Linked DNA regions of Saccharomyces cerevisiae S288C. Changing the gene in region 1 together with any one later gene gives a genetic interaction. Each region holds a gene or a part of one and is shown on either strand. Other genes may lie near its edges.

The links.
Region 2: mutations in HAC1 (region 1) and ALG8 together harm fitness more than expected from each alone (negative genetic interaction), as found in Saccharomyces cerevisiae (5 studies listed by BioGRID, with this or other methods).
Region 3: mutations in HAC1 (region 1) and LAS21 together harm fitness more than expected from each alone (negative genetic interaction), as found in Saccharomyces cerevisiae (5 studies listed by BioGRID, with this or other methods).

What each region holds. Positions count from the first base shown.
Region 1 is NC_001138.5:73,287-76,802, reverse strand, and holds HAC1 (transcription factor HAC1), read right to left. Parts: upstream 1,625-3,516; coding exon 964-1,624; intron 712-963; coding exon 656-711; downstream 1-655. Other genes in the region: protein kinase RIM15, read left to right, coding at 2,376-3,516. UniProt on the Saccharomyces cerevisiae protein: Transcriptional activator involved in the unfolded protein response (UPR) pathway. Recognizes and binds to the UPR element (UPRE) in the promoter of UPR-regulated genes such as KAR2, PDI1, EUG1 and FKB2.
Region 2 is NC_001147.6:451,445-455,199, forward strand, and holds ALG8 (dolichyl-P-Glc:Glc1Man(9)GlcNAc(2)-PP-dolichol alpha-1,3-glucosyltransferase), read right to left. Parts: upstream 2,019-3,755; coding exon 285-2,018; downstream 1-284. Other genes in the region: VPS5 (sorting nexin 1), read left to right, coding at 2,324-3,755; VAM10 (Vam10p), read right to left, coding at 2,425-2,769. UniProt on the Saccharomyces cerevisiae protein: Dolichyl pyrophosphate Glc1Man9GlcNAc2 alpha-1,3-glucosyltransferase that operates in the biosynthetic pathway of dolichol-linked oligosaccharides, the glycan precursors employed in protein asparagine (N)-glycosylation.
Region 3 is NC_001142.9:315,454-319,208, reverse strand, and holds the start of LAS21 (mannose-ethanolamine phosphotransferase LAS21), read right to left. Parts: upstream 1,926-3,755; coding exon 1-1,925. Other genes in the region: COA3 (Coa3p), read right to left, coding at 2,229-2,486; mitochondrial 54S ribosomal protein bL17m MRPL8, read left to right, coding at 2,734-3,450; DLS1 (Dls1p), read left to right, coding at 3,652-3,755. UniProt on the Saccharomyces cerevisiae protein: Ethanolamine phosphate transferase involved in glycosylphosphatidylinositol-anchor biosynthesis. Transfers ethanolamine phosphate to the GPI second mannose.

The DNA.
Region 1 (3,516 bases):
AATTATATGAGCTTTCGTCTTCAACCAGTGCGATTATATAAAGACTGCGGAACAGAACATTCTTGGCCACTCCTCGAGGAGGACTACAGAGAGCCGTGAGAGTGAGAGTGATATGATGACTAAGGTCCTTTCGAAGGTATTTGATATAGTTATCACTCATTGGCCCGGAGTTAGGGGGAGATGTTCGCTTGCGGGAGCACGGGAGAAGGAACAGAGCGGCGTTAGCATCAAGTCTAAGGTTGAAAAGCTGCCCAACCTAAGGGCATACATCAAGAATTCTTTATAGTTTTATATAAAAAAATATATATATAGATAAATAGACAGATAGATATGACACAAACAGATAGAAAAAAAGCAGAGCGTGGCTCTTTGAGGTGGAACCCCAGCCAGTCTTGCTCCTTGCAGCCAAAAAAGGGTCTTGTTCAAGAGCTATGTTCAGTGTCGCTGCCCAGTCGCCACAAATAATTGTAGGAGGGCGCGCCAACCTCACGTTTGCATTCTTGAAAAGCCTCTTCTTCTTCGGTTGAAGTAGCACACACTAACCGGAGACAGAACAGTAGAAACCACTAAGCGAAAAAGAAATATATGAAAAGAAAAAACCCACCAACAGCGATAATAACGAGAAAAAAAAAATTATACCCTCTTGCGATTGTCTTCATGAAGTGATGAAGAAATCATTCAATTCAAATGAATTCAAACCTGACTGCGCTTCGGACAGTACAAGCAAGCCGTCCATTTCTTAGTAATAAGAAAAGAATGGCTCTATTTGTTCAGGAAAAACTAGCATAAAAGAAAAAAAGAAAGCTTCCAATAACCCTGCATTCTGCTTTTGAAGGTACTTTAACCGGCTCCTCCCCCATCAGAGAACCACGACTAAAAAAAAAAAAAAAGAAAAAAAGCAGAAAGCAAAAGCTGGGGCTAGTGTTCTTGTTCACTGTAGTTTCCTGGTCATCGTAATCACGGCTGGATTACGCCAATTGTCAAGATCAATTGAATTGTCAAAGGGTAGACTGTTTCCCGCTATATCGTCGCAGAGTGGGTCTGCCAACGGCGAGGCCACCGCATCAAACAAATTGTTGTTGTCTACGGCAGGTAGCGTCGTCGACTCTGGTACATTTTCCGTCTTAAACATCTGCAGCTCCCATGAAGTCTCTTGGTCCGACGCGGAATCGCGCATACTCTTGGGCGACAAAGTCGCAGGCTCCATTGTACAGTTCAGAGGTGAAGGTGTGAACGTATCAGACGACGAGTGCGAACTGGCCCTGGTGTCCAGTGAAGCGCCCCTCGTGCTCTGGAAATCCCTGTACTCGTCAAGAGAAGCAACAAAAGCGTCGTGGCTGCAAGTCAACGCGTCTTCGTGGTCAGCCAGTTTTTCAAGGTTGACGCTGTTCAGTAAATTTTCCAAAAGAGAACATTTTCTCTCGAGATACTGCAGATGTAGTCTTTTTTTCTCTCTGCTCTGGTGAGCAGCTCTTCTGTTTCTCAAAATACGCTCGATCCTTCGCTGTTCCTTTTCCTCTTTTGTCTTGGCTCTTTTCCTTGGAGGCAGAGTCGACTTGAAGTTGGTAGGGATAGCCAAGTTCGATTGCGAATTACTAGTTAGTTCAAAATCAGTCATTTCCATAGTGGCGGTTGTTGTCGTAGGTGGGGGAGGAGGAGGTTGTTATGTTTGACACTGAGTTAAAGCCTTGGAAGTTTAAATAAAACAAGAAGACAAGAAGAAAGGAAAATTTCGCTAAAAAACATATTTCTGTATTCATTTCTCGAGTTGTCCATTGAGGTGAAATTTCTTCTAATATATAGTGAATGTAGGGAGCGAGAACAAAAGAGAACAAGGTGTTCAAAACCACGTTCATCACTCGGTACGATGTATATTTGCGACTCTTTTTAGCCCTACTTAATGCTGAGCCACTTTGCCTTACAACCCTCATAAATGTATTTTTATCCTAGCTTCTTTTTCCATATTGCCCTAGGTCTTGTTTATTCATGTCACGTGACTATATTTCCAGGTTTTTCTTTTTTTCCTCGTCCCTTTTGTGGGAAAAGAAAGCGTCCTTACTAAAAATGAGGGAGCTTTAACTTTAATATACAGCTTTTGGCAGCTTGGTGTTGTTTTTCATTGTAAAAATAAGTTGTTGTTCGTATCACAGCATTTTCAACTTCTGCATTGTCTGCCGTTTTTTGTATAGATATAGACGTATATATATATACAGAATTCTCTATCCTCTTAACCACTCCTGGAAGGCCTGCTGTAGAGGTTCTGGTGGGTGCTTTTACTGAATTCCTAACTCATCAAGCATTTTCCCTTTTTTTTTTTCCCTTTCCTTTCTCTTGCCTCATTTGATAGAATAGATAAGCCCAGTAGAGGAAGACAGATGTTCAATAGAAGTAACACCGCAGGCGGATCTCAGGCTATGAAAGAGGGACTTGGCATAAACAAGCTCTCCCCGATATCATCGAATTCGAACCCAAGCTCATTGACTTCCTCCAATTATGAAAAATATCTGCAGCTGGCCACAGAGAAGAATCCGTGTATGATCTTGGAGCTGGAACTGGACGGCAAGGTGCGATATGGCTCTCCACAGTGGAACACGATCACAGGAGTCGCCGATGATAGTGGCTCTTCTCCGACGTACATTGCAGACCTTATTCTCGGATCCGATCAAGATAAAGGTGTCTTTCAAAAGGCCACAGACATGCTGCTCATGAATGATGACACCAGTTGCACTATAACGTTCAAGATAAAGGCAGCCGACTATGAAGGTAGCGCAGGCTGTGACGATGAAAGTACGATAACGACCTTGGAAGCACGTGGTATCTTAATCAGGGATGGCCACACACAGTTGCCCTCTCACACGATGTGGATAGTCAAGCCTCGCACAAACGACTGGTCAGACTTTTATGCCAACGAAGACGCTCAAGACGACATGGTCATCCAGTTATCCGATAATTGCGACGATATCGATATCCAACTTCCCGAAGAGTTCGCCAAGACGCTTGGGTTCGGCGCTAAGATCTTCGTGCAGTACTTGAAGAGAATACGACTGGAAATGATAATAGACGAGTTCAATCTACCTCTGCCAAAAATGGAACTATGCCGGGTCTGTGAGAACTTTGTCCCTGTTTGGTGGTTGGAGACCCATTCGCAAAGTTGCGTTTGCGAGCATAGAACGGAATCGCTCATACAATTACTACACGATAATCTTCTTGAGCAACAGGCGATCTTGGCAAACTTCACGAAAGATTCAGAGTATAAGGGCAGTCAGATACAGGTACGTTCCAACAACTTCCTTAACCAAGTTTTAGACTCCTTAAGAGAGCTGTGTCAGGACGCCATAGATATCAACCCGAGTGAAATGGTTCCTGATCTTTACCACAGTCTTTCAACATTTCCTCAAGATAATGGTAATAATAACAATAATAATAATAATAATAATAATAATAACAATGCTTTGTTAGATCAATTCCCTATCCAAAAAGATACAGTTAGCTTGAATTCATATTTTCAGTTTTCCC
Region 2 (3,755 bases), on another chromosome or scaffold:
GATAATATATTGAAGTAGTACTTATATACCTTTCAACTGATGCATGTGAATGGAGTTGACCTTCATTCAGTTTAATGTAATGTTATTTTAATTCAAGTGTAAAACGCACAATACGTAAACGAAAAATAATGAGGAACTGGCGTGAGGGACTGCATAAATCGAAATCTAATCGTTATTCAATTAGTTAGTAGGTGAAAATGTACAATAAATATTTCTAAAATCGATTCATATATAAATAATTTTATATCACTTTTTTTTTAACGTCCTAGGGAAGCGATATTGTATCACTGCCATAGTAATTCGTCAAAATTATATAACCACGATAAGGCAAACCACGAGCTGATTATACCTAATGAACAATAGACACTATATATCATTAATCCTAAGAATTCAAATTTTTGCAAAAATGAATATCTCCACTTGACTTCATCCAATATTTGTAATACGGTGACGATTGGTAACAATGAAAAGATGTACGTTAATGCCAACCTATCCAAGAAAAAGATTCTTCTTTCTACACTTGAAGAAATCTTCGTAGTTTTTCTAAAAGCGGCAAAATAAATTATACACCAAACATAAGTGTATAATGTTTTAATGAAAAAATCTTGGCCTTTGTACAGAAGAGGATACAAGGAAACATAACCAGCTGAGGCAACTAACATAAACGGTACCAAAAGACGACGATCAAATCCAACAAGAAATGTGAACGGAATGATGACTAGCATTATAGCTTTCTCATGCACATGCCACCCGAACAAAAACGATGCCAACCCACAGAGAGTCAACGAGCCAACAAATCTTTTGAACGATGGATCAAACAAAAGTGGAAGTACTGCTAAGACCTGGTAAAATATCGTCAAAATAAACGTTAATTTTGGAGGAATTTGAGGGAGAATAACAAAAAATACGTCTTGAACTAGACCTTTACTTCCATTGTTGTTTGCCGCGAGCCTTTCATTAATTTCCTTGATATTCTGAGGGATCAGAGGAGGTTTAATAAATTTTGTAGCAAAAGTGTGGACGTACGGTAATTTCAACATTACCGTAGTGAGTATTTTATCCATAAAAGAATACAACGCCCAGAAATTTGGTGCCCAATATGCATGCGTCAGTCCTCTTGAGAATGGGAATAACCTGCTCAACACTTGCGGCATTTGATGAGCAAATGGAAGGAAACAAATAGTGAAAATTCCAACAACAACGGTAGCCAACTTCAAAAGATTTGCCCATCTTATCAGGAACAAAAAATCTTTGTAACTTTTAAACTTGAAATTGTTGACATTGAGAACGTATGCTCTCAATAAAAACACGAAATAACATGGCGCCAAATATAAAAATATATGCTTGAAACATATGGCTGTAGTATACAGAACAGCGCACAAGATGTATCTCTTATTCTTGGCGGCGACAATGGAGCCTATTAGAATCGCAAAAAGAAAACCATTATATTGGAAGTGAATGTGATCTATTATTAAAAACCCGGGTGATAGTACAATGCTAGAAGCAACCACAAAACTTTGAGATCTTTCACTTAGCTTTGTAGTATTAATGTATATTTGAAGGATGACAAATAGAAGAATTTCGCTGAAGATGACAGTGAGTCGTTGGAAAACGATTGTTGGCAAACCGAACTTTCCGATCTCCACTATATCCAAACAACCGTCATCACGTACAGATTTAGGAACAAATTGCGATAAAAACCATTCAAAATAAGCAAAAAATGGCGGATAATCCAATGTCCATTGACTAGTGTGCTCATAATACCATTCGCTGATGGGCAATTTATTGGTGATTGCCAGCCAATTTCTATGAACGTCAAAATCTGTACTGAAGTAGTCAGGAATCAATAGTAATTTTAAAAACAATGTGCTTATCCAGAAATTCCATAAGGAGTAGCGCTTGGATCCCTCACCTTTTTCGGTCGCGGCAGTCTTCAAAACCTTTTTTGGCTCGTCATTTTTTTTTAACTTTGCCTTCTTTGTCACAGCCATATTTTGCCTCGAACGATCACCTTTCATCGTAGGCTATCCAATAGACGTCAAATGCCTTGCTGACCACTACAGAACTGTAATGAACTTCAGCTATTTTTAACGTATGTTATTCTATAATTCTATACCACTATTGTCGTTTTGAAAAATGAAATTTCACTTTTCGGAAGTTGTCCGCTAAGAACAACTAAGTGATAACAGTAAATTTTAAAAATGCTTTGAAAAATGGGTTAAGCAAAGGTTATTTACTATAACTACGTAGTGAACGAAACCATATATCTCTTAATTTGCAGCAGGGATTTTATAAACTTTCATACATCCTGCAATAACAAGCCATGGACTACGAGGATAATCTAGAAGCACCTGTTTGGGACGAACTAAATCATGAGGGAGATAAAACTCAGAGCCTCGTTTCAAATTCAATTGAATCAATTGGTCAAATATCTACAAATGAAGAAAGAAAAGACAATGAGCTTTTAGAGACCACAGCTTCATTTGCGGACAAGATAGACTTGGATAGTGCGCCAGAATGGAAAGACCCTGGTTTGTCGGTGGCTGGTAATCCGCAACTAGAGGAGCATGACAATTCCAAAGCTGACGATCTTATTAATTCTTTAGCCCCTGAACAGGATCCGATTGCTGATCTCAAGAATAGCACTACACAATTTATTGCAACAAGAGAATCCGGTGGCGCATTGTTCACTGGAAACGCCAACTCTCCCTTAGTTTTTGACGATACGATATACGATGCTAACACTTCACCAAATACTTCAAAAAGCATCTCTGGAAGAAGATCCGGCAAACCACGAATTCTGTTTGATTCCGCCAGAGCTCAAAGAAACTCCAAACGCAACCATTCTCTGAAAGCGAAGAGAACAACTGCTTCCGATGATACCATCAAAACACCCTTTACTGATCCCTTAAAGAAAGCTGAAAAAGAGAATGAATTTGTTGAAGAGCCATTGGACGATAGGAATGAAAGGAGAGAAAACAATGAGGGCAAGTTCACAGCTTCTGTTGAAAAAAATATCCTTGAGCAAGTGGACAGGCCTTTATACAATCTTCCTCAGACAGGTGCTAATATTTCAAGTCCTGCTGAGGTCGAGGAAAACTCAGAAAAGTTTGGAAAAACCAAGATTGGCTCAAAGGTGCCACCAACCGAAAAGGCTGTGGCTTTCAAAGTTGAAGTTAAAGACCCGGTCAAAGTAGGAGAGCTAACATCCATTCATGTGGAGTATACTGTAATCAGTGAATCATCATTACTTGAGCTAAAATATGCACAGGTAAGCAGGCGTTACAGAGATTTCAGGTGGCTATATCGTCAATTGCAGAACAACCATTGGGGTAAAGTAATACCACCACCACCAGAGAAGCAATCAGTAGGCAGTTTTAAGGAAAATTTCATTGAAAATAGAAGATTTCAAATGGAAAGCATGTTAAAAAAAATATGTCAAGATCCGGTTCTACAAAAGGACAAAGATTTTCTACTCTTTTTGACAAGTGATGACTTTAGTTCAGAGTCTAAAAAAAGGGCATTTTTGACTGGATCTGGCGCTATTAATGATAGCAACGATCTGTCAGAAGTCCGGATAAGTGAGATACAACTACTAGGTGCAGAGGATGCTGCCGAGGTCTTAAAAAATGGGGGTATCGACGCGGAATCGCACAAGGGATTTATGAGTATATCGTTTTCATCACTGCCCAAGTACAACGAGGCAGATGAATTCTTTATCGAAAAGAAACAAAAGATTGATGAACTGGAAGATA
Region 3 (3,755 bases), on another chromosome or scaffold:
AGAATTGTTATATAAACTTTCATATCTTTAATGAGGTAGTTCTTGTTAAGTACTTTCAATTTCGTCAGGACCAACCTTGAAATGACAACAATAGCCCAAGCTTGGAAGAAAACGCGCGCAAGTACAATCAAGTTACTTTCAGTTGGTGCAAAGTCTATCTTAGCCAGTAAATCATGCATAAAGAGCGGTATTTCTGCCTGGTTACCATTGACGATTTCCCACGAGATTTTGTACGTGAAACACAACCCCACCAAAATAGTAGTGACAATAAAATGTAGTACTTGAAAACCAGCAGATGCCATTATCAGCACTAGAAATGTCAACATATTTAAGCACCACTTCCAGGAAGGATTCTGATTAAGTAGATTGGACATAACGTTAGAATAAATGAATTTCTGGCCACTGTTATTCCAAAACTTGATTGAGCGTACGCATGCCATCATTATAAACCAGCGCACGATTATGAGCACATTCAATCGGTATACGAACAGAGGGACCGCCGAGAATGCAGTTACTATCCACCACCACAGTTGGTGCTCCTCTTCAATGAAACTACTTGCAAATGTGGAAACGCCTAGTATAATGGAAACTAACAGAACAGACAGGGAAGAAACGCGCAACTGCCAAAAATCAGGCCCAGAATAACGTAATAATACATAAATGGCGATGATTGTTATTATGAGGAAACCAACAAAAGCCAGTGTCAAAAGAGGATAATTATAATTTGTTGCAGACTTGGTTAACGTTTCTTGAATAGTGTACATCTTTGTATAAATATCTTCGGCAGTGAAATCGTCAAGAGCAACCTCGCCGTGATGGTCTGATAATTTCCACAAATGCATAAAATTTTCTTTCATACTTGCCAACTTATTGGGCAACAGTTGTAAAAAGTCAGGTATTATTATCCCAACACTGTTCATGGGGATTGGCATACCAAACAGTGCTGCTATGGTGGGGACGATATCAATTTGTTGAACAGTCTCTAAATACTGGAAATTCCAGTCCGGACTAGCGTTGATGGGCAATGTGTAGTTTACTTGCGATTCTGGCCTAGCAAATTGCGCCAGCTTAGGTGACAAAAACAACAATCCTGCTGATGTTTCGCCGGCTGAAGAGCCACCATGGTTGCCCAGTTCGTTCATTCCATGGTCGCCAAGAACACAAATCAGTGTATCATCGTCATCTTCATGTTCCAACACTTCATCATATATTGACTTCAGAATGCTGTCCATTTCTTGATGTTTAGCAGCCATAAACTTTGAATGCGGGCCATCTTTATGCCCGATATGGTCAAGACCCAAGTAATGCAGGATAGCCACGTCCCACTGGGCCCATTCCTGAAATAATTTCCCGGGCAAGTTCCTCGTCACATTATTATCGACTTGAGTGAAATCACTGACAAAGAACGAGTGTGTCGGGTCAGCGAAGTCAAACCATTGCTGTGGGAACAGTTTCAGCCAGGTGTCATCGCCCATGAAACGAATCGTGTTATTATGTTGGATGAACTGCTGCAGCCAGGAATCGTGCTCCGAAAGATCGTTGGAATCTATGTCCTGGGCTACATTCAGCAGCAAGTCAATGAAGCTAGGTGTAGATCCCGTAGTAATACTTTTGAGTCTAGGCAGCGTCACGGTAGGCGGATTAGCAAATGACGTGTAACCCCATGCTTCGCCCGTATTGAGCCATTGGTGCACGTTGTTGAAGTGGGAAATCTGCGAATCAAAAAGAAAGTCTGATCTGAGAGCATCAATGATCACAAACACCAATTTCTGGAAGGGCCTATCGCGCTGGAGATCACGGTCTTGATCCGGATCTTGCTTTGATATACCTGTCAGCACGATTTTTCTAGGGAAAAAAGCAAAGATAAAGAGCAGAATAGCGAGTAATTGAGCGCATGATAGGCACGTGAACTGCTTCAAGTTCATCTTGCTAACTTGGTGAAGTGTGCGTGGTAGATGAACTTATTTCGATATTGTTTATACTTTAACATTTTCCTTTTTTTTCCCAAACTGAGTTTTTCATCATATTCTTAAACTAAAGAGCTGGCTGTTAGAGTAGGACAAAGAGTATAAACAAACAGAATGTATGTATATATCCGTATAAGCATATCTATATATATATATATATACATATACGCAAGTAGGTAAACTATTTACAAAAGAGGAGAGAAGAACAGCGCAAAGCCTATTGATGGAAGACCACAGCGTACCTCCACATTAACGGTCTTTTCATGCCTTCTTCTTGGCTTCGTACTCCTTTTTGAGAGCCTCGAGCTCCTGCGGATCGATGGGTGGAATGGGCACGTCTGCAAAGTCGTTGTCCTTGTGCAGAAAATGATATGTGTAGTAGTAAACAGAGCCCGTGACACCCAGCAGCAGCGTGAGACCGAGCATATTGCCTTTGAAAAAGGGTTTACGGGCCCTGATCATGGCAGGCGTCATCTTCCACGTGCGGGTGTCTTGGTACTTGGACGGATTCAAAACCATACTACTTTGTCGTCTATATATGTGCTTTCGTTGCTGCTCACGTAGTATTGTTGCTTATGCCACCATAGTAAAGACTCCCTTTATACAATGAGCAAAAATCACTGCTTTGTCTGTCACCGCGTACGAGGCGGGAAAAGTTGGTTAACAAGAACAAGTGGGATTTGACAAGCTAAAACAGCTTATAACGGTCAAGAGATTTGGCTACGCCAAGGAGAAAAAACGGTGAGAAGCACAGTCGAGCGCAACAATGACAGTGGGTATTGCTAGGAAACTCTCTAGGGACAAGGCGCATAGGGATGCGCTGCTAAAAAACCTTGCGTGCCAGTTGTTTCAGCATGAATCTATAGTGTCAACGCATGCCAAATGTAAAGAGGCTTCCAGGGTCGCAGAGCGGATCATTACCTGGACAAAGAGGGCAATAACGACAAGTAATAGTGTTGCACAGGCGGAATTAAAGTCCCAAATTCAGAGCCAATTGTTTTTAGCAGGAGACAACAGAAAGTTGATGAAGCGGTTGTTCAGCGAGATCGCACCGCGGTACTTGGAAAGGCCCGGTGGGTACACGCGTGTGCTGCGGTTAGAGCCTAGGGCTAACGACTCAGCGCCGCAATCCGTCTTGGAACTAGTCGACTCTCCCGTGATGTCCGAATCGCATACGGTGAACAGGGGCAATTTAAAGATGTGGCTGTTAGTCAAGTCAGTCATCAACGATGACGCCAACCAGCTACCTCATAACCCACTCACATTGCAGAATCTTCACAAAGTGGCCAAGTTTAAAGCAGAAGCGCAGCTACATGGTGAAATTATGCTCATCAAGCAGGTCTTACTCAAGGAAATGTCCCTTCCCTATGATGAGGCACTCGAAAACGAAAGGACGCAGGCACTTTTGAAGGAGGTCTACTCTTCGTCATTGCCAAAGAAGACGAAGAAACCCTCCTCCTATGTCATGGTTCCCAGACCTTAAAAAAACCAGGATTTTGTGTATTCCCTTGTAAATATATAGATGACAATTGAAAGAACAGCGCTAACAATGTGCGTATTCTAATATAGTGTTTTTTTTTTTTTCCAACTAGAGAAAAAAATGAAAAATGTAAGAGAAACAAAACAGAAGAAACAAGAGAGAATAGCGTCAGGATAGCTCGCTCGATGTGATCAGGCTAACACAATGAACAACGAGACTAGTGGTAAAGAAACGGCGTCTGCACCTCTGTGTTCGCCCAAGTTACCTGTAGAAAAAGTGCAGAGAATAGCCAAGAATGATCCAGAATA